3 linked regions of the Callithrix jacchus genome follow. Each later gene encodes a partner of the first gene's protein in a complex. Links are inferred from orthologs where the notes say so. Each region holds a gene or a part of one and is shown in the gene's direction. Other genes may lie near its edges.

The links.
Region 2: the proteins of GIPC1 (region 1) and MYO6 are in contact, whole or in part, in a crystal structure (PDB 5V6E), measured with the Mus musculus proteins. The link is inferred for Callithrix jacchus from reciprocal best matches to the Homo sapiens genes GIPC1 and MYO6. Residues at the interface, in NP_061241.1 of Mus musculus: Glu273, Ser274, Tyr275, Met276, Gly277, Ile278, Arg279, Asp280, Glu282, Leu283, Thr286, Asp310, Phe311, Ala312, Pro314, Glu316; in NP_001034635.2 of Mus musculus: Ser1055, Lys1056, Trp1057, Lys1058, Tyr1059, Ala1060, Arg1084, Arg1085, Leu1086, Val1088, Tyr1089, Trp1092, Lys1093, Asn1096.
Region 3: the proteins of GIPC1 (region 1) and plexin-D1 are in contact, whole or in part, in a crystal structure (PDB 5V6T), measured with the Mus musculus proteins. The link is inferred for Callithrix jacchus from reciprocal best matches to the Homo sapiens genes GIPC1 and PLXND1. Residues at the interface, in NP_061241.1 of Mus musculus: His61, Glu141, Ala142, Leu143, Gly144, Leu145, Thr146, Ile147, Thr148, Asp149, Asn150, Gly151, Phe156, Lys158, Arg159, Arg190, His191, Tyr192, Glu193, Ala195, Arg196, Leu198, Lys199; in NP_080652.2 of Mus musculus: Glu1400, Met1889, Glu1893, Arg1899, Gln1902, Gln1904, His1905, Glu1908, Ile1918, Tyr1919, Cys1921, Tyr1922, Ser1923, Glu1924, Ala1925.

The regions. Positions count from the first base shown.
Region 1 is NC_133523.1:13,274,506-13,284,975, reverse strand, and holds the start of GIPC1 (PDZ domain-containing protein GIPC1), read left to right. Parts: upstream 1-5,011; 5' UTR 5,012-5,144; intron 5,145-5,426; exon of another isoform or gene 5,427-5,586; intron 5,587-7,562; 5' UTR 7,563-7,617; intron 7,618-9,432; exon of another isoform or gene 9,433-9,521; intron 9,522-10,470. UniProt on the Homo sapiens protein: May be involved in G protein-linked signaling.
Region 2 is NC_133505.1:80,982,665-80,993,226, forward strand, and holds the start of MYO6 (unconventional myosin-VI), read left to right. Parts: upstream 1-5,146; 5' UTR 5,147-5,344; intron 5,345-10,562. UniProt on the Homo sapiens protein: Myosins are actin-based motor molecules with ATPase activity. Unconventional myosins serve in intracellular movements. Myosin 6 is a reverse-direction motor protein that moves towards the minus-end of actin filaments.
Region 3 is NC_133516.1:72,538,637-72,548,438, forward strand, and holds part of plexin-D1, read left to right. Parts: intron 1-804; coding exon 805-912; intron 913-997; coding exon 998-1,110; intron 1,111-1,958; coding exon 1,959-2,063; intron 2,064-2,602; coding exon 2,603-2,733; intron 2,734-3,074; coding exon 3,075-3,273; intron 3,274-5,226; coding exon 5,227-5,373; intron 5,374-5,521; coding exon 5,522-5,678; intron 5,679-6,532; coding exon 6,533-6,636; intron 6,637-6,723; coding exon 6,724-6,787; intron 6,788-7,572; coding exon 7,573-7,607; intron 7,608-7,858; coding exon 7,859-7,963; intron 7,964-8,529; coding exon 8,530-8,693; intron 8,694-9,719; coding exon 9,720-9,802. UniProt on the Homo sapiens protein: Cell surface receptor for SEMA4A and for class 3 semaphorins, such as SEMA3A, SEMA3C and SEMA3E. Plays an important role in cell-cell signaling, and in regulating the migration of a wide spectrum of cell types.

The DNA.
Region 1 (10,470 bases):
TCAGCTCACTGCAACCTCTGCCTCCTGGGTTCAAGCAATTCTCCTGCCTCAGCCTCCCAAGTAGCTGGGATTAGAGGCATGCACCCCCATCCCTGGCTAATTTTTGTATTTTTAGAAGATATGGGGTTTCTTTTTTATTTTCTTTTTTTGTTTTGTTTTGTTTAAAGATGGGGTTTCACCATGATGGCCAAGCTGGTCTTGAACTCCTGACCTCAGGTCATCCACCCACCTCAGCCTCCCAAAGTGCTAGGATTACAGGTGTGAGCCATCTTGCCTTGGCTAAACTCCGTGATTTTTTTTTTTTTTTTTTTTTGAGACAGAGTTTCACTCTTGTTACCCAGGCTGTAGTGCAATGGCGCAATCTCAGCTCACCGCAACCTCTGCCTCCTGGGTTCAGGCAATTCTCCTGCCTCAGCCTCCTGAGTAGCTGGGATTACAGGCACGTGCCACCATGCCCAGCTAATTTTTTGTATTTTTAGTAGAGACGGGGTTTCACCATGTTGGCCAGGATGGTCTCGATCTCTTGACCTCGTGATCCACCCACCTCAGCCTCCCAAAGTGCTGGGATTACAGGCGTGAACCACTGCGCCCGGCCCCAAACTCCATAATTTTTAAGTAAGACACCTTCCCTCTTTGTCAGAGGGGCAGCAGTGACAATTGCAGGAGAATACTTGAAAATGTCCCCCACTCCGTGGCAACTGTGAGTTCCCTTGAGGTCACCACTCACATCCTAATAATCTGCATCACCAGTGGCCAGAGTGACGCTTGCCCCAAATCTGACCCTCTGAGTGTTCGCTAAGTGAATAATTAAGTGACAAAGTGATTCAGACAAGAGGACCTGCAACATTTTTTCCTATGATAATTCATGTCAGGGTATGTGCAGAGGAAGGATAACCCAGCCCTGGGGTCAGCTGGTGGTTCCCTCTGCCCCACCCACACCTGCCAGGGACCCCACCCCTGTGCCCTAATTTCTTCAACTCTCCCACCAGGGAGAAGCAGATATTCACTCTGGCTCCAGGAGAGCCCCTCTTTCCTGAAAGACCTTTTGTCTTTTTCTTTTTTCTCTTTCACTCTTTTTTTTTTTTGAGATTTAGTCTCACTATCACCCAGGCTGGAGTGCCATGACATGATCTTGGCTTACTGCAACCTCTGCCTCCTGGGTTCAAGCGATTCTTCCACCTCAGCCTCCTGAGTAGCTGGGATTACAGGCACCCACCATCATGCCCAACTAATTTTTGTATTTTCATAGAGTCAGGGTTTCCGCATGTTGACCAGGCTGGTCTTGAACTCCACCCACCTCAGCCTCCCAGTGTGCTAGGATTTCAGGCGTGAGCCATTGCACCCGGCATTAACAAGTGGGGGCGGCTCTCTCCTGCCTCCTGGTGGTTTCAGCCATCCTGAGCCTTCCTTGGGGTCATATCTGCATTGCTCCAGTCTCTGCCACGGCCCTCCCCGCTGTGTGCGTCTGTGTCTCCTTTTCTGTCTCTTGTAAGGACACCCGTCATTGGATTTCGGGGCCAACCACCCTAATCCAGGATGATCTCATCTCAAGATCCTCCACTGAATGACATCTTTGAAGACACTTACTCCAAGTAAGGTCACATTCACAGGTTCTGGAATGTGGGCATTCCTTTTAGGGTGGGGGCATCTTTCAACTCATTAAACTGACAGAGGCACTTTCCATAGGCCTGCAGCGTGGAGGGGAAGAGGGCTGGCAGGCCCCGGACCCACAAGCCAAGGCACAGAGCTTGTTAGGATGCAGGGAGGGGCTCCTGGACAATGAGCCAGGGATGAGGCCCCTAGGCTGGGGATCTGGGAACCAACACACACACACACACACACACACACACACACACACACACACACACAAGCCTGATGTGGCTGAAACTGAGAGAGCAGGAGAGAGCAGGACCGGGTGTGTTTAGGAATGAGACACACCAGGCCCTGCATTCCTGAGTTGGAAGAGAAATTGAGAGTTTAAGTCAGGAGGGGCAAGGCCCGATTTTCTTTCACATGGAAGTCAGAGCCAGGAACTGGGTAGTTTGCCTTCGTGGGATCCCAACGCTCCCCAGGAATATTATGCTGGACATCAGTGTGGCCAGGTGTGACTCCTAAAAAAAAAACACACTTTGGCTCACAGGGACAGGTTTTTTTGGGGACACATGGCCTCGGGGGGTGCGGTCCTTGGTCGAGAAGGAAGGTGACTTGATTCGGGTGCTCACGGACGCCCTCTGGCCGCTGTGCAGAGAACTGACTGTAGGGCTGACAGTGAGGGTGGAGCGGGAGGACCAGGGTGGAAGCCGCTGCACCGGGTGGGAGGTGATGGGGCTGGCTGGACTAGGAGAGGTGTGAGCAGGGTACGCCACCATACTAAGCTAATTTTTGTATTTTTAGTAGAGATGGGGTTTCACCATTAGCCAGGATGGTCTCAATCTCCCGATCTTAGGATCTGCCTGCCTAAGCCTCCCAAAGTGCTGGGATTACAGGCATGAGCCACCTCGCCCAACTGGATTTTTTTTTTTTTTTTTTTGAGACTAAGTCTTGCTCTGTCGCCCAGGCTGGAGTGCAGGAGCACAAAATCAGCTCACTGCAACCCCCGCCTCCTGGGTTCAAGTGATTCTCCTACCTCAGCCTCCTGAGTAGCTGGGATTACAGGTGTTCACCACCACACCCATTTAATTTTTGCATTTGTAGTAGAGACAGGGTTTCACCATGTTGGCCAGGATAGTCTCAATCTCCTGACCTTGTGATCCACCTGCCTTGGCCTCCCAAAGTGCTGGGATTACAGGCTTGAGCCACTGCACCTGGCCCGACACTGTCTCAAAAAATAAAAATAAAAATAAATCAGAAAGGAGATGCCCAGTGCCGCTTTGTGTCTTGAGCAATCACATAATCCCATCACCCCTTCTCTGGGCATTTCCTCATCACACAACAGGAGCCAGGTGGATCCTGGCTCAGGACTTTGCAGCCTCAGTCATGCTGTCCCCTGGGCTCTCCAAGAGTGCAGGGGGCAGCTCAGATGCCAGGCTCAGGCAGGGCAGGCAGCACAGTCCCACAGAAGGCACTGGCCAGCCCAGGCACCTATTGCTCAGTGGGATGGCAGAGGTCAGCAGAACAGGAAGAGAGGGACAATAGCTGTGCCTGTTGCCTGGCCTGCCACAGCCTTCTCAGTGTTTGCCAGCTGGGTGGGGCTGACTAAGCAATCCTCAGCAGTGAAGCTCAAGGTTTCATCTTCTCTCTCTCTCTCTCTCTCTCTCTCTCTCTCTCTCTCTCTCTCTCTCTCTCTCCTCTCTCTCTCTCTCTCTCTCTCTCTTTCTCTTTCTTTTCATGACAGAATCTTGCTCTGTCGCCCAGGCTGGAGAACAGTGGCGCGATCTCAGCTCACTGCAACCTCCGCCTCCCTGGTTCAAGCCATTCTCCTGCCTCAGCCTGGCGAGTAGTTGGGACTACAGGCACGTGCCACCACGCCCGGATAAGTTTTTGTATTTTTAGTACAGACAGGATTTCACCGTGTTAGGATGGTCTTGATCTCCTGACCTCATGATCTGCCCGCCTCAGCCTCCCAAATTGCTGGGATTACAGGCGTGAGCCACCATGCCGGGTCTCCATCTCCCCTTTCACTTTACCCCTCTGCAGGTCCTGGTGGGGCTGAGTTGCACACAGTCACACCCTGGAAACTGCAAAGAACCAGTCATCCGATGAAGCTTGAGCAGGGTCTCAGCGCTTAGAGGCTTCCAAGAACTACAGTTCCCAGAACACGCAGCATTCAGTTGCTGTCCAAGTGGCTGGGTTTGAACTAGAACAAGGAAATCTCGCCTGTCCTGGGAACTGAGCGTCCTGGCCTGTTCCAGGTGCGTTTGTGACTCATGTTTCTTGGATCTGTGCCCTCCTGAGAAATCCCCGTTCCTTATAAACTACCTGGTGCATTTGTCCACACAGGTTTGCTGAGAACCTGTTATGTGGCAGCTTGAGATGGGAGTGAGGGGTTGACGAGAGAGACTCAGTCAGCCTCCATCCTCACAGTCAGATGGAGACAGATCCATCAAAGGTCGGAGGCTGGCTGGGTACCCTCTGTGATCTAGCACGTAGTAAGTGACCAACAAATCAACAAGCAAATAAAAACTATCTCACTCTTGTCTTTCATTCCATCTTGCCTTTCCACACTGATTTACCAGCTCCCACGATGTTGCACTATCCTAAAGCGTGCTGTAGCTCTCTGGCTTTTGCACACTCTGTTATCTCTACTGGAAGCATATTCGGCTTACTGGCTCACGCGTTTGTCTGTAGGACAGAGCCTGGCACGGAGCAGAGGGCACATTAAATATTTGATGAGTGAGTGAATGAATGAATGAATGAATGCCTTTCTCCATTGTACACTCCAGGAAGCAGGGACGCTCGGGACCCTCCGTATTTATCTCTGCCCCCCGCCCGCCCCTAGAGTATGAATGCACTTTTTATCAGCTCCGAGGATGGCCAGGCTGGGGCAGAGGCCGGGCGGGGAACTGGGTTAGGAGCTGCCATCGACCCCCCACCCAGGCCTCCTAAACGGTCCACTTTCCCGGACGTCGGGAGTTCGCATCCTGTCCCCGAAACTTGGCCTCGGTCACCTGACTCCCCCGCCCCTCACCACCCAGGGCACCCTAGACGGACATTCAGCCAACAGCACGTGGTTCAGGGGCCCCAGCTTCCTTCCCATTGGCCGCTCGCCTCCTTCCTTCCCCGCGATTGGCCGGGACCCAGCCGCAGCTCCGCCCCCCCTCCTCAGCCCTCTGGTGGTACAGCCCGCCGCGGCTCAGGCGGGGCGGAAAGGTCCACTGCTTTGCGGCGCAGGGGGAGCCGGGAAGAGCCGGGTGAGGCGGAGGGATCCCTCTGGAATGTTTCCGTCGGGTCCACCCGAAGCGGGAGGCGCGGATTGGCCGCGAGCTCCGGAAGACAGCCGCTAATTGGTCTTCCGCGGGCGTCGGCCCCGCCCCCCTAGGCGCCACTGCGGGAGAGGCCCAGGCAGGAGTTTGCGGAGGGCCGAGCCGGGTGCGCGCGGGGAGGCGGTGGCGGCGGCGCAGGTGAGTGGCCCCGGCGGGAGGGATGTGTCCACTCTGGGGGCCCCGGATGTCGCGGGCCCGCGAGGATCCGGCGGATCGTGCAAGGTGGGGCGGGCCCCGGGGACGCGACTGGAGGTCTAGGCTGAGCGCGGGGATGCCGGAGGCCCCTTCCTGGGGGGAGCGAGGGTGGGGGTGGTGGGGGCAGCTCCCTTCCTGCTGGAGGGCAGAGGGCAAACGCCTCCCAGCACCAGGTAGGGGTCTCCGGGCTTGCCCCTCCCCCCTCCCCCTTCTAGACGGCCCCCATCCCGGGGGGGACAGGCGTGGGGTCGATGTTTCTGACCCTTTCCTGTCCATTTTCCCTGAGCGAACCGCGTCTGAACCCTCCAGGGCCTGGGGCACGCAGTGAGGACCAGGGCCTGGATAATTATCATCATGAAAAACTCCACCCCAGCTAGCATTTATGGAGCGCTTCCGTGTCAGGCATTTACCATGCGGATCATTGAATCAAAACACTTCATGGGAGGTGTTGTGCCTTCTTGTAAAAAAGGTGAGGCAGCAGGCTCAGAGAGGTGGAGTGACTTGCTCAAGGTCACACAGCTAGTAACTGGCACATCTGGGGCTGGAACTCATGCCCCCAGGGTCCAGAACTGGAGTCTCAGCCACTAGACTTGATACCCACTGGCTCCATAGTTCAGTTGTTGCTGAGCAGCTCCAGCCCCTACCCCTCCCACCCCTACCTCATACTCATCATCAGGGCCACACTTGTTGGTCTTTTGTTTCCTTCCCCCCCACCCCCACAACCCCCAAAGATCACCAGATACCAGCCACTCAAACAGGAAGCTGCCCTCATGTCCCTTCTACCCTGAGCTGGAGAGGGCAGGTTTGACTACCTGGGTCCAGAGAAGAGTGACATCTGCAGGGGCCCAGGATGCTGGGGTCCTGGGCCTGCTGGGTCCCCCCTGGCAACCTGGGCCAAGGCTGAGCAGTAGGCGTTCTCCAGGGAAACACCCAGGAGCCGGTTTTTCAAGAGTGAATCAGAGGCCTCTCTCCCTCCTCTCCAAGGCAACACGGTGTGGGAAGGGGGAGCCTGGGCGTGATTTCCCCCTTCCCCTAGCTTCTGTGTGCTCCCAGGAACCCCTTTCCCTCCTCCTGCCGACCACACTGTGTTTCTGGATGGCTGTGGGGTTGCGAAGTTTCAGGCCCTTCCCAGGATGAGGGGGCCGGGATGCCGAAATTCCAGCCCAAACAGTTAATATCCAGGTCGAAGTTTCTCTTCTTCATCTCTGCGTTCAGGTGTGAGGGGAGCCAGGGAAAGTGGGGAGTTAGTAACCCCACAGTAGGCATGTTTGGGGGGCTGTTTTGAGGATGGAGGTTTGCAGAGAGCAGTCAGAATGAGGACCTGAGACACATTCATTCATTCTACAAATATTTCAAGTGAGCACCTACTATGGGCACGTGCTAGGCACTGTTCTTGGCACAGAAAATAACATAAATGAACAAAAATTCCTGCTCTTGAGGAGTTGGCACTCTGAAAGGAAGCAGCCAACAGCAAGTTATCAAGTAAATAAAGAAGATAATTTCAGATGACACTAAGTGCTATGAATAAATGTGTGGGTAGTACTATAGAGGGTTGTGGGCAGGGGGTGCCAGTGCCAGGAAGATCAGATAAGGGGGTTGGGCAAGGTGGCTCACACCTGTAATCCCAGCACTTTAGGAGGCCGAGGCAGGTGGATCACTTGAGGTCAGGAGTTTGAGACAAGCCTGGCCAATATGGGGAAGCCCTGCCTCTACTAAAAATTAGCCAGGCGTGGTGGTGCATGCCTGTAATCCCACCTATTTGGGACACTGAGGCAGGAGAATCACTTGAACCTGGAAAGTGGAGGTGTCGGTGAGAGGAGATCGTGGCACTGCACTCCAACGTGAGCAACAGAGCAAGACTCCATCTCAAAAAAAAAAACAAAACAAACAAACAAAAAAAAACAGGTCGGGCAAGGCCAAGGTCTTTCTTTAGGCTGGACCAAGCTTGGAATCTAGTTGGAGCAGATGAACCCAGAGCAGGGATTCTGCAGGGGTTTGTGGGTCACAGTAAGGAGTTTGCAATTTTTCTTCCAGAAGGTGGGAAACCGTTGTAAAGTTTCAGTCAGGGCAATGATGCCATCTCATTTATGTTTTAAAATAGAGACATGAAGTTAAATGACAGCCTGAGGCTGGAAGACAAGAGTTCTGCCAGGGCAGCATGCAATTAAGTTCCTGGGCCTGAGCTGTCTGTACCACAGGGGAGGTTCCAACATGCTGGGGCAAGCCTGGGAGGCTGCCTGGAGGAGTGAGCCTGGAGTAGGTCTTGGCAGGCAGAGAGGGCGGGGATATTCCTGGGCAGGGCAGGGCAGAGAAGGCGATACCAGTAATAATGACAACAGCTTCCTTACATGGAGTCTGAGGCAGAGTATAGATGGGATACGTGGGCAATCTCTTTGGATTTCCATAACCACCTTGAGAGTGACAGGAATTCTACCCATTTTTCAGATGAAGAAACTGAGGCCCTGTGAAGTGAAGTGACCTGCCCACAGCCACACAGCTGGTAAGTGGCAAGGGTGGGATTTGAACCCAGGCCATGAAGCCTCTTATGGCTGTGGCAGGCAGATTCATTAATCACTCACTTTCCTCCCTGCTGTTAATCCTCACTCACGGGTGGGGACACAGAAGCCAGCATGAACCAGGGCAGTGGGTGTGGACAGAGAGAGAGTAGGGAGGTTGGGAATCTTGGTCAGGATGTAGGGATCTTGGAAGTTTGGATCTTGGTACAGATGGCAGTAGTAATAATTGTCACCAATATTTACAAAAAGCTTATTGTGTACCAGGACTATTGCAAGCACATGTGTGATTTCCTTGGAGCTCAGAGAGGTTAAGACCCTTACCCAAAGCCACACAGCTAGTAAGAGATGAGGCCAGGTTCCAGACAGGTTTTTAGCTTCCTGCCTCCCAGTGCACAGAGCTGGTGGAGTTGGGGGGGTAATGACGGATGACAAAGGCTTTTTTCTTTTTCTTTTTTTGAGACAGGGTCTTGCTCTGTCACCTAGGCTGGAGCACAGTGGCATGATCTTGGCTCACTGCAACCTCCACCTCCCAGGTTCAAGCAATTCTCTCCTGCCTCAGCCTCCCCAGTAGCTTGGATTTCAGGCATGCAGCACCATCCCTGGCTATTTTCGTTTGTTTTTTTAGTAGAGACCAACCTGACCAACATGGAGAAACCTCGTCACTACTAAAAATACAAGAAATTAGCTGAGCATGGTGGCACATACCTGTAATCCCAGTTACTCGCGAGGCTGAGGCAGGAGAATCACTTGAACCTGGGAGGCAGAGGTTGTAGTGAGCCGAGATCGCACCACTGCACTCTGGCCTGGGCAACAAGAGCAAGACTCCGTCTCAAAAAAAAAAAGAGAAAAAGAAACCACACAGACAATGAAAGGTGAGGGAGATGCTATTCCTGCCTTCCTGGCTAGCTGAAGCACCTACTATGTGCCTAGCACCAACCTGGGAAGCAAGAGATGTGGGGGCCACAGAATGGGACTTGTGCTTTTGCTGCAGAGATGAGAGCCTTTGTCTTCCTGGGGCCAGGCACCCAGACTGCTGGGTGTGTGGATATTGGGATCATTCAGTCATCCATTCATTCATTCAACAAATATTATTGGCCGGATGTAGTGGCTCATGCTTATAATCCCAGCACTTTGGAAGGCCAAGGCAGGAGGACCACTTGAGCCCAGGAGTTTGAGACCAGCCTGGGTAACACAGCAAGACCCCATCTCTCCAAAAAAAAAAAAAAAAAATTAAGGCAAGGTGCCATGGCTCATGACTGTGATACCAGCACTTTGGGAGGCCGAGGCAGGTGGATCACCTGAAGTCAGGAGTTCGAGATCAGCTTGACTAACATGGTGAAACCCCATCTCTACTAAAAATACAAAAATTAGCTAGGCGTGGTGGCATGTGCCTATAATCCCAGCTACTAGGGAGGCTGAGGTAGGAGAATTGCTTGAACCCAGGAGGCAGAGGTTGCAGTGAGCTGAGATCACACCACTGCACTCCAGCCTGGGTGACAGAGCGAGACTCTGTCTCAAAAATAAAAATAAAAATTGGCCATGTAAGGTGGTGTGCTCCTGTAGTGCCAGCTATGGAGGAGGCTGAGGCACGAGGATCACTTGAGCCCAGGAGGTGGAGGCTGCAGTGAACTATGATTACACCACCACACTGCAGCCTGCACAACAGATGACACCCCTGACTAGGAAAACAAACCGAGGCTGGTTGTGGTGGCTGGCTGACACCATTTTCCTTCCAGTGAGGCCAGAGCCCGAGGAGGGGTCATAACAGAGACAAATGTGACGTGACTTCTGTTTTACAGGACCATTCTGGCTGCTGTCTGGACACGAAGTCGTGGGGGGTGAGGGTGGAAGCTGGGAAACCCACCAGGAGGCAAGAGCAGTAGTTTAGGTGAGTGATCATGGAGATGGACCAGGTAGGAATGCATTCGTGAACAAATGGGTACATAAGATTGGGTGCGGGCCGGGCAGGGAGGTTCACACCTGTGAGCCCAGCACTTTGGGAGGCTGAGGCAGGCGGATCACGAGGTCAGGAGTTCGAGACTAGCCTGACCAATATGGTGAAACCCCATCTCCCGAGTAGTTGGGATTACAGGTGCCCACCACCACGCCTGGCTAATTTTTGTATTTTTAGTAGAGACAGGGTTTCGCCATGTTGGTCAAGCTAGTCTCAAACTCCTGACCTCAGGTGATCCACCTACCTCGGCCTCCCAAAGTGCTGGCATTACAGGTGTGAGCCGCCACACCCAGCTGCAGCTCAGGTCAGGGCCTTTCTACTGGCTGTTCTCTCTACTTGGAATGTTCTTGCCCCAAATCATTGCATGGTGCTTCCTCCTGTCATTCAGGTCTCAAGTTCAGCATCACTTGTTCAGAGAGGCACTTCCTGATCTTGTCTATAGAACTTGTCTTGCTTTGTCTCCATATCAACATTAAAAATTATATGAGGCTGGGCACAGTAGCTCATGCCTGTAATCCCAGAACTTTGGGAGGCTGAGGCTGGAGAATTGCTTGAGCTCAGGAGTTTGAGACCAGCCTGGACACCACAGCAAGACCCTGTCTCTAAAAAATAAAAAAATGAGCAGGGCATGGTGGCAAGCCCCTTTGGTCCCAGCTACTCAGGAGGCTGAGGTGGGAGGATCACCTGAGCTCACCACCTAAGGCCTAACTGCACCACTGCACTCCAGCCTGGGCAATAAAGCAAGACTGTCAAAGAAAAAGAAGAAAACAAAAGAAAGAAAAAAAATAGTATTAAACATTTACACCTTTCCCTGCTCACTGTGCATTTCCTCTTCCAGAGATTGTGGACAGAGCCCCAGCTAGCCTATGTATATAGCATCTGT
Region 2 (10,562 bases), on another chromosome or scaffold:
AGCTAAGTTTTGTATTTTTAGTAGAGATGTGGTTTCATCATGTTGACCAGGATGGTCTTGATCTCTTGACCTGGTGATTCACTTGCCTCAGCTTCCCAAAGTGCTGGGATTACAGGTGTGAGCCACCGCACCTGGCTGATATTTATTTATTTTAATGAGTTAATTTTAAGTGAAATTGTAATTCTAACTTTGCATGTGAAATCAAGTCTATAAAAAAGTTGGTGATGATGCAGTTGAAGGTGTTAAAGTGATATTAGCCAGGGAGGGTGTAGAGACCCTCACATGCCTTTAGTATCTATTCCCACAAAAAAGAAGAAATGAAACCACAAAATTTTCCATATGATTTTACGGGGATTTGTGGAGTTCCTATCTATGACAAGGGATCCATGGATTTCAGTTTAGAAATTTCTGGGATGGCACAAGAAGACCTAGGGAAGAGTCTCACAAATATTTAATGAGTGACAGCAGGCCGGGCACAGTGGCTCACGCCTATAATCCAAGCACTTTGGGAGGCTGAGGTGGGTGGATCACGAGGTCAAGAGATCGAGACAATCCTGGTCAACAAGATGAAACTCCGTCTTTACTAATAATACAAAAATTAGCTGGGCATGGTGGTGCGCGCCTGTAGTCCCAGCTACTCAGGAGGCAGAGGCAGGAGAATTGCTTGAACCCAGGAGGTGGAGGTTGCAATGAGCTGAGATCGTGCCATTGCACTCCAGTCTGGGTAACAAGAGTGAAACTCTGTCTCAAAAAAAAAAAAGTACAAAAAATTAACTGGGCATGGTGGCGCGCGCCTGCAGTCCCAGCTACTCGGGAGGCTGAGGCAGGAGAATTGCTTGAACCCAGGAGATGGAGGTTGCGGTGAGCCGAGATCGTGCCATTGCACTCCAGCCTGGGTAACAAGAGTGAAACTCTGTCTCAAAAAAAATAAATAAATAAAAATAAAAAATGAGTGACAGCAAAGCTGAAAAACTTCTAGGCATGTATTGCATAATAACATTTGATCAATAACAGATCGAATATACAGCGGTCCCATAAGAGTATAATACCATATTTTTGCTGTATTTTGTCTATGTTTAGATACACAAGCACTTCCCATTGTGTTATAGTTTTCTACGGTATTCACTACAGTAATAAGCTGTACAGGTTTGTAGTCCAGGAGCAATAGGCTACACCACATGGCCCAGACGTGTAGTAGGTTATACTATCCAGGTTTATGTACGTACATTTTGTGATGCTCACACGAAGACAAAATCATCTAAAGACGAATTTCTCGGAATATATCCCTATGGTTAAGTGATGCATGACTGTAAAAATATGGAATAACTTGTTAAGATGAGTTTTGGCAACAAATAAGATGAGTTATATTCACCATGATTAATAACAGTGCATGCAATTTTTCTTTTTTCTTTATTGAGACAGCATCTTGCTGTGTCACTGAGGCTGCAGTGCAGTGGCGTGATCAAGACTTCCTGCAGCTTCAATTCCCCCACCCAGGCTCAAAGAATCCTCCCACTTCAGCCTCCTGAGTAGCTAGGAATGCAAGCCCAGCTAATATTCTGTATTTTTTGGTAGAGATGGGATTATACCATGCTCAAACTCCTGGGCTCAAGCGATCTACCCACCTCGGCCTCCCAAAGGGCTGGGATTACAGGTATAAGTCACTGTATCCTGCCAGTGCATGCAGTTTCTTACAAGTGTCAACTCTCTTGCCATTTGTTCATCCGTCCTATTTATTCAAATAGTAATACTAATGGTAGGCACTGCTTAATGAGTGACTATCATGTGAAAGACTCTCTGCCTGGCATTAGGGATGCAAAGATAAGTCCCTTATTACGACCTCAAGGAATTTTACAGTCTAGTTGGAGGATACTTAGAAGTAAACTTAAGAAGCAATAGTGAAATATGTATTTGAAGAGATATGTGCAATGAGTGTTAAGTGAGAGATGGGAAAGAGCACCAAAAAGCACCTAGGATTTGCACCAAGGGGGTTTAGGGAAAACTTACTGGAGGAAACAAATAGGCTTTGTTCTGAAGGATTAATTGGATTTAGCTTGGCAATGCTCCAATGTAATAAATAGCATAGCCTTCTGTTCTGGGACACATAAGTACTTCAGAATGGCCTGAATATAAAGGACAAGAAATAGAGAAAGGCAGTGGTAGAAATGAGATTGGAGAGGTAAGCAGGGTTGACAGTGAATGTAAATCATTCCAAAGACAGGCAGGTAACATTGTGTGAGGAAGCCTGGCTTAAGACAGATAGCTTTGTGACTTTTGGGCATCAATGAATTGGGGACCTCATAACCAATGAAAAGTCATTAAAATTCAATTAAAAGAAAAAAACATGGTCAGGCACAGTGGCTTATACCTGTAATTATGGAGCCAAGGCAGGGAGGATCACTTGGGTCCAGGAGTTCAAAATCAGCCTGGGCAATATAGAAAACCCTTGTCTCTATAAAAAATAACAAAATAAAAAAACTGCCTAGCAGTGTGGCATGTGCCTATAGTCCTAGCTACTTCACGTGGCTGAGGTGGGAAGATTCATTGAGCCCAGGAGTTGGAGGTTACAGTGAACTACGATTGCACCACTGCACCCCAGCCTGGGTGATAGAGCAAGACTCTGTCTCAAAACACAAAGGGCTGGGTGTGATGGCTCACATCTGTAATCCCACCACTTTGGGAGGCCGACGCAGGCAGATCACTTGAGGTCAGGAATTCAAGACCAGCCTGGTCAACGTGGCAAAACCCTATCTCTACTAAAAATATAAAAATTAGCCAGGAGTAGTGGTGTACACCTATTGTCCCAGTTACTTGGGAGGCTGAGCCAGGAGAATCCCTTGAATCTGGAAGGTGGATGTTGCAGTGAGCTAAGCTCGAACCAGAGCACTCCATCTTGGGAGATAGAGGGAGACTCTTTATCAAAAAAAAAAAAAAAAAAAAGAGGAGGAAGAAAAGAAATACCCATTATATTAGACAAACAAAAACAGCCAATTTGTGGCTAGTGGCTAAATCAAGCAGGACCTTACAAGACGTCTTAAGTGGTTTGCATTTTATATCAAGAGTTGGGGATTGCCATTACAGGAATTTAAATAGTGGAGTACATAAAAGACTAACTGATGACATTGTAAAGACTGGATTAGAAGGGGACAAGACTGTGGTCTGGGAAACTGGTTAGGTGACTAAGGCAGTATGCAAGACTTGAAATGATAGTGGCTTGAAATAAGATAATGGTAGTCGCTATAAAGAGGAATTTGATACATTAGAGATATATTATAGAGCCAGAAGCAAAGGCACTCAGTAATGGATTGGTAGCAGGGGGACAAAGAAGAGAAAAAAGATTCCCAAAGTCATTAGTTACAAAAACATCTTTAAAATGTATTGATTTCTCTAGGTGTAGTGGCTTACACCTGTAATCCCAGCATCTAGGGAGGCCAAGATGGAAGGATCAATTGAGGCCAAGAGTTCAAGACCAGCCTGGGCAACACAGCAAGCCTTGTCTTTACCAACAACAACAACAACAACAACAAAATTAAAGAAAGTATTGATTTCCATTGGTTCGCCTAATGACGTTTAGTATTAAATCCAAAATTGAGTCAGAGCAGTGAACTCGGACAGCCATCTTCATTTTCTCCTTTATTTCAGTTTGCTTTGAAATTTAGTTTTATATACTTAAGACTTAACTTCTGGCAATTTGGAATTAATTTCTGAGATTGCTGTAAATTATTTCCTTTCTTTGTTTCTCTTCCTCTTTCTTGCTTCCCTATTTTATTCTTTTTTGAGACAGAGTCTAGTCAGTCTGTCACCACCCAGGCTGGAATGCGGTGGCACGAACTTAGCTCACTGCAACCTCCATTTCCCGGGTTCAAGCGATTCTCCTGCCTCGGCCTCCCAAGTAGCTGGGATTACAGGCATGGGCCACCATTCCCAGCTAATTTTTTGTATATATATATTTTTAATTAAAAATGGAGTTTCGCCATGCTAGCCAGGCTGGTCCCAAACTCCTGACCTCGTGATCCGGCCGCCTCAGCCTCCCAAAATGCTGGGATTACAGGCGTGAGCCACCATGCCCAGCCCCTATTTTATTCTTAATATTTTGTTTTAGTTGAAAGCTAAAACATCTTGCGAGACCTCAGTTTTTTTTTTTTTTTTTGTTTTGTTTTGTTTTGTTTCTCCAAGAAAACCGTGAAGCCTTTAAGTATCAGAAATTCTCTTCGGAATCTTCAGAATTCCAGAAGTTTCCAAGTCGCTACATATAAATGTTGCAGAAAAACGTGCAACTCTCATGTGTAAGTAGGCTATCTTTTTTCCCCGGATACATTTAGCATTATAGTCCATTATCACTTCGTTGCCTTAACAGAAGCTGTTTTCATCGTAAAGATGATGTGTTTTCACCATATAATTCAAATTTGCATAGGTACTTCATATTTTAAAAAGTGATTCACAGATATGTCACGTATAAAAACAGTAACATTTAAACGACTGAGAAGGTAGGGACTCTAAAAAGTAAATGCAGCGGCGAGGGTGGGAGTGGGGAGAAGCAAAGGGGTGCGAAATTCACATCTCAAGCCCTCCCTCCTCCAAAGGCCGACTGGAACTTAGTTGTGCAGGAACGTTCCTCCCTATGCAGGGCAGCCCAGCCCAAGCCGGCCAGATCCGGAGCCGAGGTAGCCGCCACACAGCCTCGCTGCAGCCCGGGCGCGGCCACCTGGTCCCTGGGTCCCCAGCGCGGAGCCCCGGACTCCTCGCCCCCTCTCCGAACAACTTTCTCCCTGCTTGAACTGATTCTTGCTGTTGGCAGCCTGCACAGTCCCGGCATCAGCCGGAGAGGACCTGCCTCACTGGGACTGGAAACAGCTACCGCGACGAAGGAGGCCGTTTCTCTGTGCGAGGAACCAGAACTCCCGGCTTGTCCAGGGCAGCCCCTCCCTGCGCAGCAGGGCGCCCACCCCGCCCCAGAGGCTCGGCGCCGCGGGCGGGGCGACCCCGGGGGTACGGCGCCCTCGCTCCCAGAACGCGCGCCCCCTCCCGGCGCGCTCCCGGGGGCCGGCCGCACCGCGGCCCCGGCGCCCCCGCCCCCTCGGGCGCTCCGTAGCCGTGACGTGCACGCCGCGGTGCCGGGGACTCGGCTGGGCGCCGGCCGGCGGGCGGAGACCGACTCGGGATCTGTCCGAGCAGGAAGCCAGCCGCAGCCGGGCCGCTGTCGCCGCCCCGTCCTGCAGCGCGTCCGCGTCGTCGGCCTCTTCGCTCGCCCTCATCTCTCGCCCTCATCACTTCCCACCGCGCCCTTCAGCCTGAGCTGCACGAGTACCTCTGCCGCCGCGCACCTGCCTTCACGCCGGCACCGGTGAGTGTCCCGGAGCCCCCGCTGCGGGGCGTAGGCTCCGGGGTCTCGCTGTTCCCGGCCCGGCCTTGCTCTTGGGCCTCCTCGGGCAGCTCCCGGGCCGACGCGTCGGTTCACCGCCGGACGACGCGGGTGGGAGAAGCAGGTGATGGGTCGGCCCCGGGCGGCGGCGGCGCGCGGTGGGGCCGGGGGTGGTTCTTGTTTCCACAGAAAGACGTTTAGCCTCCTTTCACGGGTTATCAATCACCAAGGTCCCTTTGTGTTTCTTCCCTGGCTCCCAGGTAGAAGCAGAGCACTCAGGTGTCCAACTCGGACTTGGACACTTTGTGATAGTTTTATTTTCTCTTTTGTAAACACGCTTAAAATACAGTGCAGGGAGAGCGCAGTTTGTTCTGAGATGTGAAGATCAAATGATACCATTAATAGTCTAATCATGTAGAAGACCAGATTGAGACTTTGTAAAGCTTTATTCTTTGTCTCTCAGTACCTTGAGTATGTTAATTTACAGGTATGCTACTGAACAAGAACTTTCTTCTGTTAATTTCCAAAAACTCCCTAAAACGATTAAAATGCTCAAACTCTGGTATTTTAATTTTAAATAGGACATAATTTGATGGGGTATCCCTAGAACATCTGAGTTTAGAAGTATTTCCATACAGTTTCAAAAAATTCATTACATCTTATCTAGCATAAAGTGATACCGTGGAAAGATGCTTAACTCCTAATTTATGAGTATTAGTGAGAAAACGAGAAGAACTGCCCTAACTTAATAGACTAACTGTACGGGCTAAGTAAGTCTCATTTTTTTTTTTTTTTTTTTTTTTAATGCTCTGGTGGTATAGATGCAGTCTATCTAGTCAGAATTTGAGAGTTTTAAAATTAAGGTTCCTTTTTTGAGACGGAGTCTCACTCTGTCGGCTCACTGCAACCTCCACCTCCCAGGTTCAAGTGATTCTACTGCGTCAGCGGCTGGGCTTACAGGCGTGCACTACCGCCCAGCTAGTTTTTGTATTTTTAGTAGAGATGGGGTTTTGCCATGTTGGCCAGGCTGGTCTCGAACTCCTGACCTCAGGTGATCCACCCACCTCAATCTCCCAGTGTGCTGGGATTAGGCATGAGCTACCGCACCTGCCCTAGAAATTAACATTCTTAAGATTTAGCTGAAACTTATCTTCACAACATAAAACATGAATCTTGAACTTGGACTTGTAGTGGTCATGGTACAAAGGTTGGCGGCAAAGCAGCATTTCCTGTACAAATTAACTGAGCTTCCTAGATGTCTCAGGTTGTGGTTTTCCAACTGGAGAATGTTTAGTGAAAAAATTACCTCTGATCGGAGTCACGGCACGTAAAAAAAAAAACAAAAAACTTAACTGTGTCTTTTGCCTTTAATTGTAGAAACCGCCACAAATGTTACCAAGTGGACTATAACTAGAGCTTGAAACCATGCAGCCTTTCACAATAGCTCGCTGACTTTTATATATCCAGCTCGTTTTGAGTATTTTTACGTTAGGCAGGAATTACATCCACATCGGTAAACAAGTCATTGTAGTCGTATGTACATTTGCCCATTACTTTTGCATTTTTTGTGTGTGACATGCTGTTTATCATTCTCCATCTTTGTAAGTTACATTATTGTTTTCAGAAACTATTGTAAATGGCAGTAACAGAAGTATGAATGACATTTAAGGAAATATGTTAAAAACTGTATAATATATAAAACTATATATGATATACATATATATTCTTGGTTAGTGCCCAGAAACATGAGCAAGAAAAATGTAATGAACAATTATAATATTTAATGTAAATTAATGCAATTAAATATTGTATTAAAAACAAAAGATTGTAAATCATAACCAGTAGAGCTTATCTGAAATGGATTTTTTTCCTATTTATGTTTACGTGATCAAGTTTTAAAATAACAGTGACCAGGAAATCCGAGAGGCTGAAGGCTCTTTTCTCATCCTGTTGTGACTTTGCCTGGAGTCTGTGGTGTATCATGTAGCCCATTGTTTAGACAATTGGGCTGTATCTGGCTTCCAAAATGTAGCTTTCTTTAGAAAGTTTTTTAGAAAGTTTCAAAGATTTTGACCATGTGAGGTTTGAATAGATATATACATCCAAACATTTTTTAAAAATTAACCCATTTTAACTTTGTTGACAGTTGAGGCTCCGTTTTTGACATGTAAAATGTCAGTTTTAAGAAGAATTTAACTTCTGTACAGTTTTCATTTTTATATATTAAAATATCTAAAAATAAAATATTGAAAAGTGTTATAACTTAAATAAATCTCATAGAGTTTATTTATTCATTTTTTTTTTTTTCCCTGAGATGGAGTCTTGCCCTGTCACCCAGGCTGTGTAGTGTCATGATCTCCGGTCATTGAAACCTCCACCTCCTGGGTTCAAGGGATTCTCCTTCGTCGGCCTCCCAGGTAGCTGAGATTACTGGTGGCCGCCACCACGCCTGGCTAATTTTTATATTATTAGTAGAAATGGGGTTTCACCATGTTGGCCAGGCTGTTCTCGAACTCCTGAGCTCAAGTGATCTGTCCGCCTTGGCCTCCCAAAGTGCTGGGATTGCAATCGGAGTTTAATTATGATACCCATAATGAGATATTTCATAATGATTTATGAACTGGCCCTTTACTAGTATAAGATTATTGCACATTTGTTAGTCACCTGCCATAATTGGACAGATTACAGACTGAGGGACTTGATACAAAATTATTTTCTAGGCTGATGGCCATGGCCTTTTCCAAATCAGGAAGTCTCGGCTCAAAGAATTAAATGCTTGCTCCAGAGGGGCAAAGTCTGGATTCACACCTGAGTTATTTGACCATGGAGCCCATTTTTTTTCCAACCAGAGCAGTTTTCCTTGGTTTCATTTCACTTGGTGGACTGTTTAAACCGGCAAAACTGGTATTATGTCAAAGAATGTAATTCAAGGTTTGATGAAAGCATCCAGGAGTAGATGTGATAGGCCATGAATGTAGTTCTGGAACTAATTTAGAATTATGTGTCTTCCTTCTCAAGTTGACAGCCTTGAATAGTGATGCTGCTGCCTTCTCATTTCTCATGTAGTTCTAGAATGTTGTATGTATTGTGCACTCTTACCTTTGATAGGTTTATAAGAACTAGATTTAGATTGCAATGTTCCTGGTTAGGATAGGATTATTGCCCATAAATGCAGTAGCTGTCCTTTAAATTTTACATATTTAATTCTCTAGGGAGGGGGGACTTGTTTTCAGATGATAATTAAATTGTAACTTAGATACTATTAGGGCAAATCTTTTCTATGGCCGTGGAATATCCCTTTAGCTTCAATAGACATAAATGACAAAAGTGAGCACATAAAACCCATTTTGTTTTTTTTTTGGTAACACACTAGGAAACATGCATTTCAGCAGTAGGATATAGCTGGGTAAATGAGAAGAAAGATAGGAATGCCGAGTTGTGTGGCTGCGTTTACCAGGTTTTTCATTATTTGCTTTGAACTATTAGGAATTTTGCATCTCAAGGATATTCATATTCAACCATAAATACAAAACCACCACCTAATATAAATTAGTAATAGATGATCTGTGACACACACATCAAGAACTAGAGTTAAATAAGCTGAGTTCTCTTTTTGAGGCGGGGCATGTGTGTGTGTGTGTTTGTGTATGTATGTATGTGTGTATATATATATATATATATATATTTTTTTTTTTTTTTTTTTTTTTGAGACAGGGTCTCTTTCTGTCACCCAGGCTGGAGTGCAGTGGCATGATCTCAGCTCACTGCAGCCTCCACCTCCCAGGCTCAAGTGATCCTCCCATCTCAGCCTCCTGAGTAGCTGGGACTACAGGTGTATGCCACCATGCCTGGCTAACTTTTATGTGTTTGTGGTAAAAGATGGGTTTTACAATGTTGCCCAGGCTGTTCTTGAACTCCTGAGCTCAGATGATCTCTGCTGCCTTTGGCTTCCAAGGTGCTGGGATTACAGGCAAGAGCCACTGTGTCAGGCCGGCATAATGTCCAGAAGAACAAAGATCTTTTGTATTTAAAATGGTTCTGATGTTGTTTGACAAATTTGAGTGGACTGAAATTTTTGTGATATCTTTCTAGTTACTGTTTTCAAAAAGTAGCTTATTTTTCTGATTGATTAGTGTAAGAATGGCATACTGGTTTGAGAAATGACCATAAGTCCACCAAAAGGTTTCCCTGTGAGTACTGAAGCATAGAAAGTAAAACCTAAAGAAGAAATCTGGCATCTTCAGATATCTTGCTGGTGCTAAAGAGAGAGGAAATAATTTTTTTAATAGAAGGTATGTCTCAAGTGAAACCAAAACACCAAAGCACATTCCTTCAGTGTATATTCACATAGGATAAATATCATGCTGAGTAATGTGCACAAAGGAAACTCCTGACAAAAACACAGGCATCTTTTGAGTATGTTAGGTCATTTGTTATTTTATTTGAAAATAACCTGGCCAGGTACGCTGGCTCACACCTGTAATCCCAGCACTTTGGAAGGCCAAGATGGGTGGATCACCTGAGGTCAGGAGTTTGAGACCAGCTTGGGCAACATGGTGGAACCCCATCTCTACTAAAAGTACAAAACTTAGCTGGGCCTGGGGGTGGGTGCCTGTAATCCCAGCTACTCAGGAGGCTAAGGCAGGAGAGGAGCTTGAACCTGGGAGGTGAAGGTTTAGTGAGCTGAGATTGTGCCACTGCATTCCAGCCTGGGCGGTTGAGTGAGACTCCGTTCCCCGCCCCCCAAAAAAGTAACCCACTGACTAACCTTTACAAGGTAATATATTTTGTGTGGCAGAATTTTTTGGTTTGTAATTATGTGTGGATGATCATCTTTTTCAACAAATAATATGAGGGCCCGCTGTGTTTTAGTTGTTACAAGTGTGAACTGATTCCTCCCTGTTCTGGCATGTATTTGGATCCAGGAAATAGAAAGTGTTGCAGAGAGATGAAAAGATAAATGGAAACCATCCATTTAAATCCAAAAATGTATGTGCCAAAAGCTAATAACCTATATTTGTATGGCAATTTATTGCTTTAAAATAATTTTGTATACATTTGGTCCTTAAACAACTAGATGAAGTAGATTTAGTAAATTTATTCCTTTTCTACAGGTCAGGAAATAGAGACTCAAAAAATTAAAAATACAGGCTGCGTGTGGTGGCTCATGCTGGTAATCCCAGCGCTTTGGGAGGCTAAG
Region 3 (9,802 bases), on another chromosome or scaffold:
ATTCTCCTGCCTCAGTCTTCTGAGTAGCTGGGATTACAGGCGCCTGCCACCTCGACCGGCTAATTTTTATATTTTTAATAGAGACAGGGTTTCTCCATGTTGGTCAGGCTGGTCTTGAACTCCTGACCTCAGGTGATCCGCCCACCTTGGCCTCCCAAAGTGCTGGGATTATAGGTGTGAGCTACCACGCCCAGCCTTAATAGATATTTTAATACCTTATATATATTTATGTATTATACATATTGTATATATGTATATATATACTCCTTCCCTCCCCAGAAAAGGATTATAATGTAATACTGCTTTGTAATCTGCTTTTAAAAGTTTATTAATTTACAAGTAACACCTGATCATGGTAGAAGGAACAGAAGATGCTCAAAAGCAGAAAGAAAGCAGAAGTCACCTCGAATCCTCTCACCCACGGAAAGCCACTGTTAACCACTTACACACACACACACACACACGCACACAAACACACACATTTGTTTTTTTTTATAAAGGGGGCTAAACAAATTCTAAAAGAGCTATAACACTACATATTTCTTTTTCTAAGGGCAAGTCAGCCATTGCTTTGCTGGCCATTCCTCAAGCCCTCTGCCTGTGGGAGAGCTCTCCCCAACCCCCCACCCCTTATCCCAACACTGCCTGGGAGGGAGGACTGCAGGGTGTCCTCCTCCCACACCCTGCCCATAGGAGCTGGAGCCAGGGCCAGTGAGCAAAGCCCCAGGCCCTGCATATAGCAGGCTCCAATAAAGGCTTTCCAAAGGGCGCTGGAGGCCTCACCTGTTTCTCCACTGCCCACAGCCCTGTTCGTCTTCTGTACCAAGAGCCGACGTGCTGAGCGCTACTGGCAGAAGACGCTGCTACAGATGGAGGAGATGGAATCTCAGATCCGAGAGGAAATTCGCAAAGGTAGTGGGCTGGGACCCTGCAGGGCTGGGCCTCTACTTTCCCACCTGGGGGAAAAGACGCTCACAGCTGTCCGTGTGTCCACCAGGCTTCGCTGAGCTGCAGACAGACATGACGGACCTGACCAAGGAGCTGAACCGCAGCCAGGGCATCCCTTTCCTGGAGTATAAGCACTTCGTGACCCGCACCTTCTTCCCCAAGGTCACCCTCAGCCTGAGCCTGTCCCTGAACCTGTGCTGGCCACCTCAGGGCAACTGGACCTCTCTGGTCCCTGCCAGTCTAGAGAGTCCCTTGAGCAGTGCCAAACTTGCACAGCTGTCCACAGCAGTCCCGGCCACTTCCCCTGGCCTGCCATGGGGCAGACGGTGGGGGGCAGATTCTCCTCCACTCTCATTCTCCACTCACTTGATATGTAACTGTCCATATGGAAGCCAGCTGCAGCCCCTCTCCCCTTGTCAAGGTGGGACAGAGTGGCCAGGGCTGCCCCAGGCCAGCCTCTCTCCTCCCTGTGCCTCTTCCCAGCCAGGCTTCCCTTGGTCTCTATACCCCCTCCTCCTGTCCACTGGGCTCCTGCCCCATCCCTTCCATGCTGCCCATGCCTGCCCTTGCCCGCCCTTGCCCTTCCAGGGTCCACTGCCCTTTTCCACCTCCTAGTGGTACCACCCTCCCTTCCCTGTCCACACCGTTCCCCACACAGTGGCTAAAACAAGCCCATGTTTGACTACATCATCTTTCATGAAATCCTCCAGCTGGCTTTTCCCAGCCTCAGGCTAAAGCTCAGACTCCCAGCCTCTCTGCCTCCATTTCCCCCATTGCACACAGAGCTGCTTTTGCTTCCCCTTAAGCCTTGTGTTCTCTTGTGGGGCCACACCCCTGGAATTTCACGACCCCCAGGCTTGGCCCATTGCCTCTTATTTCTTTATGGGGGGCTAATGCTATGCCAGTTTCCCCCAGCAGCCCAGGCCGGTGCCCCTTTCTGTGTGAGTGAGCATTGCATGCCATCAGGGGGTCTCCAGCCCCGCTGAGATGCTGGGGGTCTGCCTCTGCAGTGTTCCTCCCTTTATGAAGAGCGTTATGTGCTGCCCTCCCAGACCCTCAACTCCCAGGGCATCTCCCAGGTGCAGGAGACCCACCCACTGCTGGGAGAGTGGAAGGTGAGTACCCGCCCCCCAGCCCACACAGTGTGGGCTGCTTCAGGGCAGCCCTGCTTCTCCTGGGTCCCCTTTCCGGTTGATCTAATCCCTTCATTGATCCCTGTGGCATGGAGGTGGGAGGCATCTGCCGTTGTAAGGTACTGAGCCCTCCATCCCAGGAGGCATTCAGGCAGCCGTTCAGGATGTTATACGTGCTGACCCTCCCCCCACCCCACCAGGCCAGGTAGAGAGGACAGAGGATTGCCCCACCCCATATACCCCACTCCACCTGCTGCTTAGAGAATGGAAGGTGAGAGTCCTCCATACTGGGATGCTGGGTTACCTCCAGGCACCCTTACCCTTCTGTGAGCCCCACTTTTCAATTCAACTGAGCCATTGTTCTCAGTCACAAGTCACAAGGAGTTAGGAGGCATCCACCATGAAAGGTAGTGAGCTCCCCATCCCAGGAGGCATACAAGCAGCCGTCATAAGCACTGGCTTTTAGGCTAGGCAGGGACACTGGGCCCCCCTGGACACCCCGTCACCAATTGCTTCCACAGATTCCTGAGAGCTGCCGGCCCAACATGGAAGAAGGAATCAGCTTATTCTCCTCACTACTCAACAACAAGCACTTCCTCATCGTCTTTGTCCATGCGCTGGAACAACAGAAGGACTTTGCGGTGCGCGACAGGTCAGGCTGTGACAGACTAGCGAGGGGCAGGGGAGAGGGGCCTGTCCAAAGCCACACAGCATCAGGTCCTGGATCCTGGGACTCCTGACGCCCCCATATTCCAGCCCTTCCTGGGCCTGGATACCTAAGACCTGGGCTCATGGGGCACGGTGGTTGCCGTGGACATAGGAGAAGGTGGCTCTTTCTCCAGGCAGATTCCAGCCCCACTCACCCATCTGCAGGACCCAGTCACACAGGCATTCCTGGGACCGCTGAGCCCAGGGACGAAGCAGCACTGAAGCCTCGGGACCCCCAACTCCAAGGGCCTCAAGGCGCAGCTGACACTGGCCTCCCGCTCACAGGTGCAGCCTGGCCTCGCTGCTGACCATCGCGCTGCATGGCAAGCTGGAGTACTACACCAGCATCATGAAGGAGCTACTGGTGGACCTCATCGATGCCTCGGCCGCCAAGAACCCCAAGCTCATGCTGCGGCGCACAGAGTCTGTGGTGGAGAAGATGCTCACCAACTGGATGTCCATCTGCATGTACAGCTGTCTGCGGGTGAGGCCGCCCGGGGACAGGCAGAGCCCAGGTGGGGGACGTGCCAGGGATGCAGCAGCAGTGACCCCGAGGCCTTCCAGGCCTTCCCTGGCACCCTCAGGCCAGCTCTGCCAGGAAGGAGTGTTGCAGGAGACAGGCCCATAGGACCTGTTAAGCCGAAGGGGGAGCCGCAGCCCAGGGGAGGCCTGGCTGGACCTGCCACTCAACGCATGCTTGGGCGCATAACAGAGGTTGGGTCAGGGGCCTTGTCCCATTTGTGGTTTTTGCAGTCATCCAGCCCTTCCTGCTCTGGATTAAGGAGATTAAATCAGCCCCTGGCTGGCCCCTGAGGCTCTTCCAGCCCTAGGGGCGAGTACCTCGCAATGCCTCTCCCTGTCTGGAGGCTTCAAGGTGGCTTCCTGGAGCAGGCACCCCAGTGCTGAGCCCTAAGGGAGCAAGCCAGGCGAGGAGTGGTGGGGAGGGTCCTCCAGGTATTGGGTACTGCACAAGGGCAGAAGCTGGGAGGAGGAGATGTTCATGGAAGAAATGGAAAGAAGGCTGGAGAATCCTCCAGATGAGAGCAGAGGCTGGGAAGGGGGTGGGCCAGGTAGCCAGGGTCTCCTGCATTCCGACAAAAGGACCCCCTAAGCTCTCCTCTGCAGAGCAGGGGTTGCTCAACCTCTGGTCCCGTCCCACCATCCAGCTGCCCTACGGTGGCAGAGGCTAGAGGGCTGCCTGGAGGATTGTGGGAGAAAGGCAAAGGCCTGGCTGGAGCCCAGAACCAGGGCCTCAGATGTTCTGTTTTTTGTTTTAATTATTGAAGAGATGGGGGTCTTGCTTTGTTGCACAGGCCGGTCCCAACTACCAGGCTCAAGGAGTCCTCCTGTCTTGGCCTCCCAAAGTGCTGGGATTACAGGGGTGAGCCACTGTACCCAGCAAGCATGTCCTGGGCTTGAGTCCAACCTTTGGCACAGCCCAGCTGTGTGACTCTGGGCTACTCATTGCCCTCTCTGGGCCTTGGTTTCCTTCTGTCAAATGGGCCTAGAGGAGCCCCACAGCTCCTCCTGGGAAGAGGGGGTAGTAGGGTGGAACAGAGGCAGGGCCATTGGGGTGCCTCCACCTTCTGCGGGCTGCCTCGCTGTGGGCCATCAGGAATCACAGGGCCACTGTGGACCCTAGACCTCCCTCCCCTGGCTTGTTCCCATAGCCTCAGCCAGGCCTTCCCCTGTGAGCCGGTTTCCTCCTCTAGAAAGCGGGGAATCGGTGCCTCCCACACCCCAGACCTGGAGAACTAGACCAGGACGCAGGCTGGCATGCTGCCGTTGTAATCTTTGCCAAATCTGCCTAACACTATCGTGTACTTAACTTTTCTTAAAATCAATTTTGGTGGGTAATTAAGTAAAACTATCCCAGTGGAACACCTGGGTCACTTGCTGGGCAGTGGCCATGAGAATCGGCTCATGGCTGTGGGTCCAGCAGAGCCACTGCCTGGAGGGCCTCCCTTCAAGAAGGGCAAGAGCAGGGGCATTGAGCCCCATTCCACCTGGGACTCCACAGTCCTCAGCCTGCGAGTAGGGTCGAGGCCACATCGGTGTTCCAGGTTCACCTTAACTCACCCCTGCAGCTGCCCACTTAATAGAAAGTCACAGGCTTGGGAGTCAGCTGAGCCAGGTCAGGGTCCTGGCCTGCCACTTCCCAGCTGGGTGACCCTGGGCAGGTCACTTGCACTCTCTGGGCCTCGGCACTTTGGCTACACAAGGATGATACAGTGAACGCAGCCACCCGCAGCCGGTGGTGTTTAGTGAACACGAGCTTAGGGTCCGTGGGGACACCCTCGGGAGAGGGATGTTGACACCAGGATCCAAAAACAGACTGTTGGAGGGTTTGGGGGATGGGGGTGTGAAGGTGTTTGGCCCAAGACTTGGGCTTGGAATATGGAGGGGGCCTTAGCCCTAACAGCCCCATGCCCCCCAGGAGACTGTGGGGGAGCCGTTCTTCCTGCTGCTGTGCGCCATCAAGCAGCAAATCAACAAGGGCTCCATCGATGCCATCACGGGTAAGGCCCGATACACGCTCAACGAGGAGTGGCTGCTGCGGGAGAACATAGAGGCCAAGCCCCGGGTGAGCCGGCAGGGCTGGGAGGGTCCCAGGGCTGGGGCGTTGACCTTACGGCATTGACCCAGCCTTCCTGGGCAGGGCCTTGCTGCCTGGGCACCGACATGGTGATGGTGGCAACTCACTGACCTTTCTCTCCCGCCTTCCCCTGCAGAACCTGAACGTGTCCTTCCAGGGCTGCGGAATGGACTCGCTGAGCGTGCGGGCCATGGACACTGACACGCTGACGCAGGTCAAGGAGAAGATCCTGGAGGCCTTCTGCAAGAACGTGCCCTACTCCCAATGGCCACGCGTGGAGGATGTCGACCTCGGTGGGTGGGGATGGGGTGGAGCCCCATCAGGCTGCTTCAGCTGGGGCTGGCCCCTGCCTTGACGGAAAAACTCCTTCTACCTGGCATGGTGCATGAACGTGGGGACATGGAGAGGATCTGATGAGCCCCTCGGCCAGAAGCTCTTGCTCTGTGGGAGACAAGTCCTGCAGTGTGGGCGAGTAAAGGGCAGCAGCAAAAAGCCTTCAGGAACGGCTTCCTCATTCCTAAAGGAGGGGTGCAACCCCTAAAGTGGGTTGGTTTGTCTTTGAGACAGGGTCTCACTCTGTCACCCAGGGTGGAGTGCAACCACTCAGTCTCAGCTCCTGGGCTCAAGTGATCCTCTCATTTCAGCCTCTTGAGTAGCTTGGACTACAGGTGTGTGCCACCACACCCAGCTAATGTTACTTTCTGTAAAGATAGTGTCATGCTATGCTGCCCAGGCTGGTCTTGAACTCCTGGGCTCAAGTGATCCTCCTCCCTCAGCCTCTCAAAGTGCTGGGATTACAGGGGTGAGCTATGACGCCCGGCACGGAGTGGGTTTTGTGAGTCTTTGTGAGGCCAAGGGTTTCATCGAAATTGTAACATGAGCAGCCCTGCAGACAAGGCCACTTCCAGAGCTTCTCCTTGGTGTCCTCCATCCTGGCACCTTCACTTTGTACCCTCACACCCTCTCCCCCAGCTCATTTCCTGCCTTCCCCATTTTACAGATGGGAAAATGGAGGCTGAGAGAGGCATGGCTTGCCTCGGTTTCCATGGGGATAGCGAGAGGCCTCTCCCTGTGTGGCTGGGCCGGTACCTACCCCTCAGGCTCAGCTCCCTGCCCAGGCCCTGATGGTCTACTCCTTGTCCCCCAGAGTGGTTCGCCTCCAGTACACAGAGCTACATCCTTCGGGACCTGGATGACACCTCAGTGGTGGAAGACGGCCGCAAGAAGCTTAACACGCTGGCCCATTACAAGGTGCAGTGCTGCCCCCACTCAGTCCTCAGCCTCCATTCCCCCACCCCGGCCTCTGGCCACTGACCTTGTCCTTTCCCCTCTTGTCAGATCCCTGAAGGTGCCTCCCTGGCCATGAGCCTTATAGACAAGAAGGACAACACACTGGGCCGAGGTAGTGTGGGTGCACATGGGAAGGGAGTCTAGGCTACGTGTGGGTGGGGGCTTCCATCCTATGCCCCAGTGGGGAAACTGAGGCTCCAAGAGGCAGGGCTGTCCTGGGTTGAGGCCTCCTTGGTGGGGGCTGGGCGGGGCCAAGCTCCTCTGACCCAGTACTGCTTGGGCAGGACCCGCACCAGGCCTCTTCAAGCCGATTTCCAGCGGCAGCTGGAGAGAGTCCCGGGGAGGGCAGGAAGTGGTTCCAGGAGGTCTGGGCAGTGGCCAGGCCAGAGGGGAGCCAGCATGCCAATCCAGCCTGGGGCCATGTCCCTGCCTCAAGTCCCCTCCACACCCTCAGATGGCACAGCCGCCTGGTTGGCAGGCCTGCGAGCCCAGGCTCCTGGGTCTCCGGGTCCCCTACTGAGGTTGGGGGCAGAATCTCAGGTCTCCCCCAGCAGGAGCTCTGGGCTCCAGAGGGGTGGGCGGAGGCAGCTGCCCTGCCTCCCCGGGCCCCTCCTCCTCTGTCCCTCCCTCTGAGTCCCTCCATCCCTGTGGTCACTGTGTGTGTGTATTTCTCTCTCTGCCTTACTCTGCCTTGTTGGCTGTGTGTCTCTGGACCTCTCTCCTCTCTCTCTCCATCTCTCCCAGGCTCAGTCTCCCTGTGAGTGTCTGCGCCTCCGTCTTCTTCTCTCTGCCTGTTTGGATCTCTGTCTCTGTTTCTCTCCCTGTCTTTCTGTCTTCGTTTCTGTTTCTCTCTCCTCTCCTCTCTCATGTTTATTTATTGTGTTCTTCCTCTCACAGTGAAAGACTTGGACACAGAGAAATATTTCCATTTGGTGAGTGCCCAAGCTCAGCCCCAGGGGATCCGGCCCCTCAGTGGGTGTGGCCTTGGCTTTCTGTGGCCCTGGGCCTCTGGGAAAAGTGCTCCAAGCCCCGGGAAAGGCTGGGGGTGGAGGAGTGGGGATGGGGCCCCGAATCAGGAGGGAACCACAGCCCTGTGCGCTAAGAAGCATGGCAGAGCCAGACCTCCCACAGGCGGCCAAGGATGGGGCCTGGTGCGGATGCTGACCACTGCCTGGCCTCCCAGGTGCCGCCCACGGACGAACTGACAGAGCCCAAGAAGTCTCACCGGCAGAGCCACCGCAAGAAGGTGCTCCCAGAAATCTACCTGACCCGCCTGCTGTCCACCAAGGTGGGTCCAGCCTCAGTCTCCCCTCCGTGCAGTGGGTACAAGGGCCAGCTGTGCACATGGCTGGCTGGGAGAGGGCTGCGAGTTCTTCCTGTTTCCCTTGTGGAACTGGAGGGCTGGAGAGCTAAGAGGCTGAATGCTTAGGGTCTCAGTTGAGGAGGCATTTCCTCCCATTGCTGCCAGGAAAAATGCCTGACAGACACTTCTACGTTAGTCCACGTAACGTCACAGCAGAGGCCCAGAGGGGTCAGTGATGTCCCCAAGGACACACTCCACGCTCAGTAGCAGTGCCACCACCCCACAGCCCATACCCTGGCACCTCCAGTTCTGGACTCTGTGTCAGTGCCTTGATTGGTCCTTCCAGTGCCTCTGTGAAGCAAGTTTCGAAGGCTAACCCATTATCACAGACAAAAATACTGAGGCCAGATAGACTTGGTGACCAGCCTGATGCCATGTGGCTTCCTCATTCAGCAGCCTGGGCATTTCAAGCTCTGCAGAGCCACCAAGGGTGCCCACTAGCCTTCTGCACATGGCCTGGGGCTGATGGTGGCCACCCTGCTACCCTACAGGGCACGCTGCAGAAGTTTCTGGATGACCTGTTCAAGGCCATTCTGAGTATCCGTGAAGACAAGCCCCCGCTGGCTGTAAAGTACTTCTTTGACTTCCTGGAGGAGCAGGCTGAGAAGAGGGGAATCTCCGACCCGGACACCCTACACATCTGGAAGACCAACAGGTGGGGGCCATGCGGATTTCACTGTACCGTCGGGGCCCCTGTGGCAGGGGGTTCAGAGTCTAGCCTCTGGCCTCACCTACTTGGGTTTAAGCCCTCCTCTGCCATTTCCCAGCTGTGTGCTTTCAGATGAGTGACTTAGCCTCTCTGTGCTTCAGTTCCCCTCCATCCAGCTGTAAAATGCCACCCACGTTAATGGTAGGAATTAACTAGAAGAGTGCCCAGGAGGCACGGTCTAGGGGCTGTCCTTACTATCATTCTCCCACACGCCTCTCAGGTGGGCACCACTAGCTCCACTTCACAGATGAGCACACCTGCTCAAGCCCACACCGGCCCTGAGACAGTAGAGCCAGGCTCAGCCCCACATGACCTGAATCCCCTACCCAGTCGGTAGCCCTGCTTGGAAGCACCTCTTAGCTTGTCGGGGTCACACACCCCCACGAGAAGTTGCTGGAAACCCAGTCTGAGCCTTGGGAAGAATGCCTCCAGCCCAGGCATCTCTCTGCAGTGAGAGCAGCTTCCCAGAGCTCTGGGGGTGCACGTGCCCAGGCTGCTGAGTCACTGGGTGGCCTGAGGTGGGTGTTGCTCACCCTCTCTGGCCTCTTGAGGACAAGGCCAGCACTCCAGGCCCTGGCCCCTGCATCCCTGCCACAGCTACTCTGCTAATGCTGGACTTCCTGCTGCCTGCAAGGGTTGGGGGAGGAGCTGGGGGCTGGCAGGGTGGGGGGCTTCTAATGAGAACCAGGACCTGGCTGGAGGCTCAGCAGGGGGTTGCGGGGGTGGACCAGCTAAGCCCTGCAGCTCCTGCCTTGCTCCAGCAGGAAACCCGGCTCTCGGCCCCACTGCCACCCCAGCTGGCCAGAGATGGGCAAACTAACGTTCCCAAAGGTCACATCTTGTGACAAGGCTCCACCTCGGGCCCTTGAGGGACAATGCCAGCTCTCTCCTCCAAGGCTGTCCCTCCACTGCATCCTCCCCCACCCTACCCTCAGGGTGGGTTCTCATGGCCTTTGTTACCTCACCCCACAGCCTTCCTCTCCGGTTCTGGGTGAACATCCTGAAGAACCCCCAGTTTGTCTTTGACATCGATAAGACGGACCACATTGACGCCT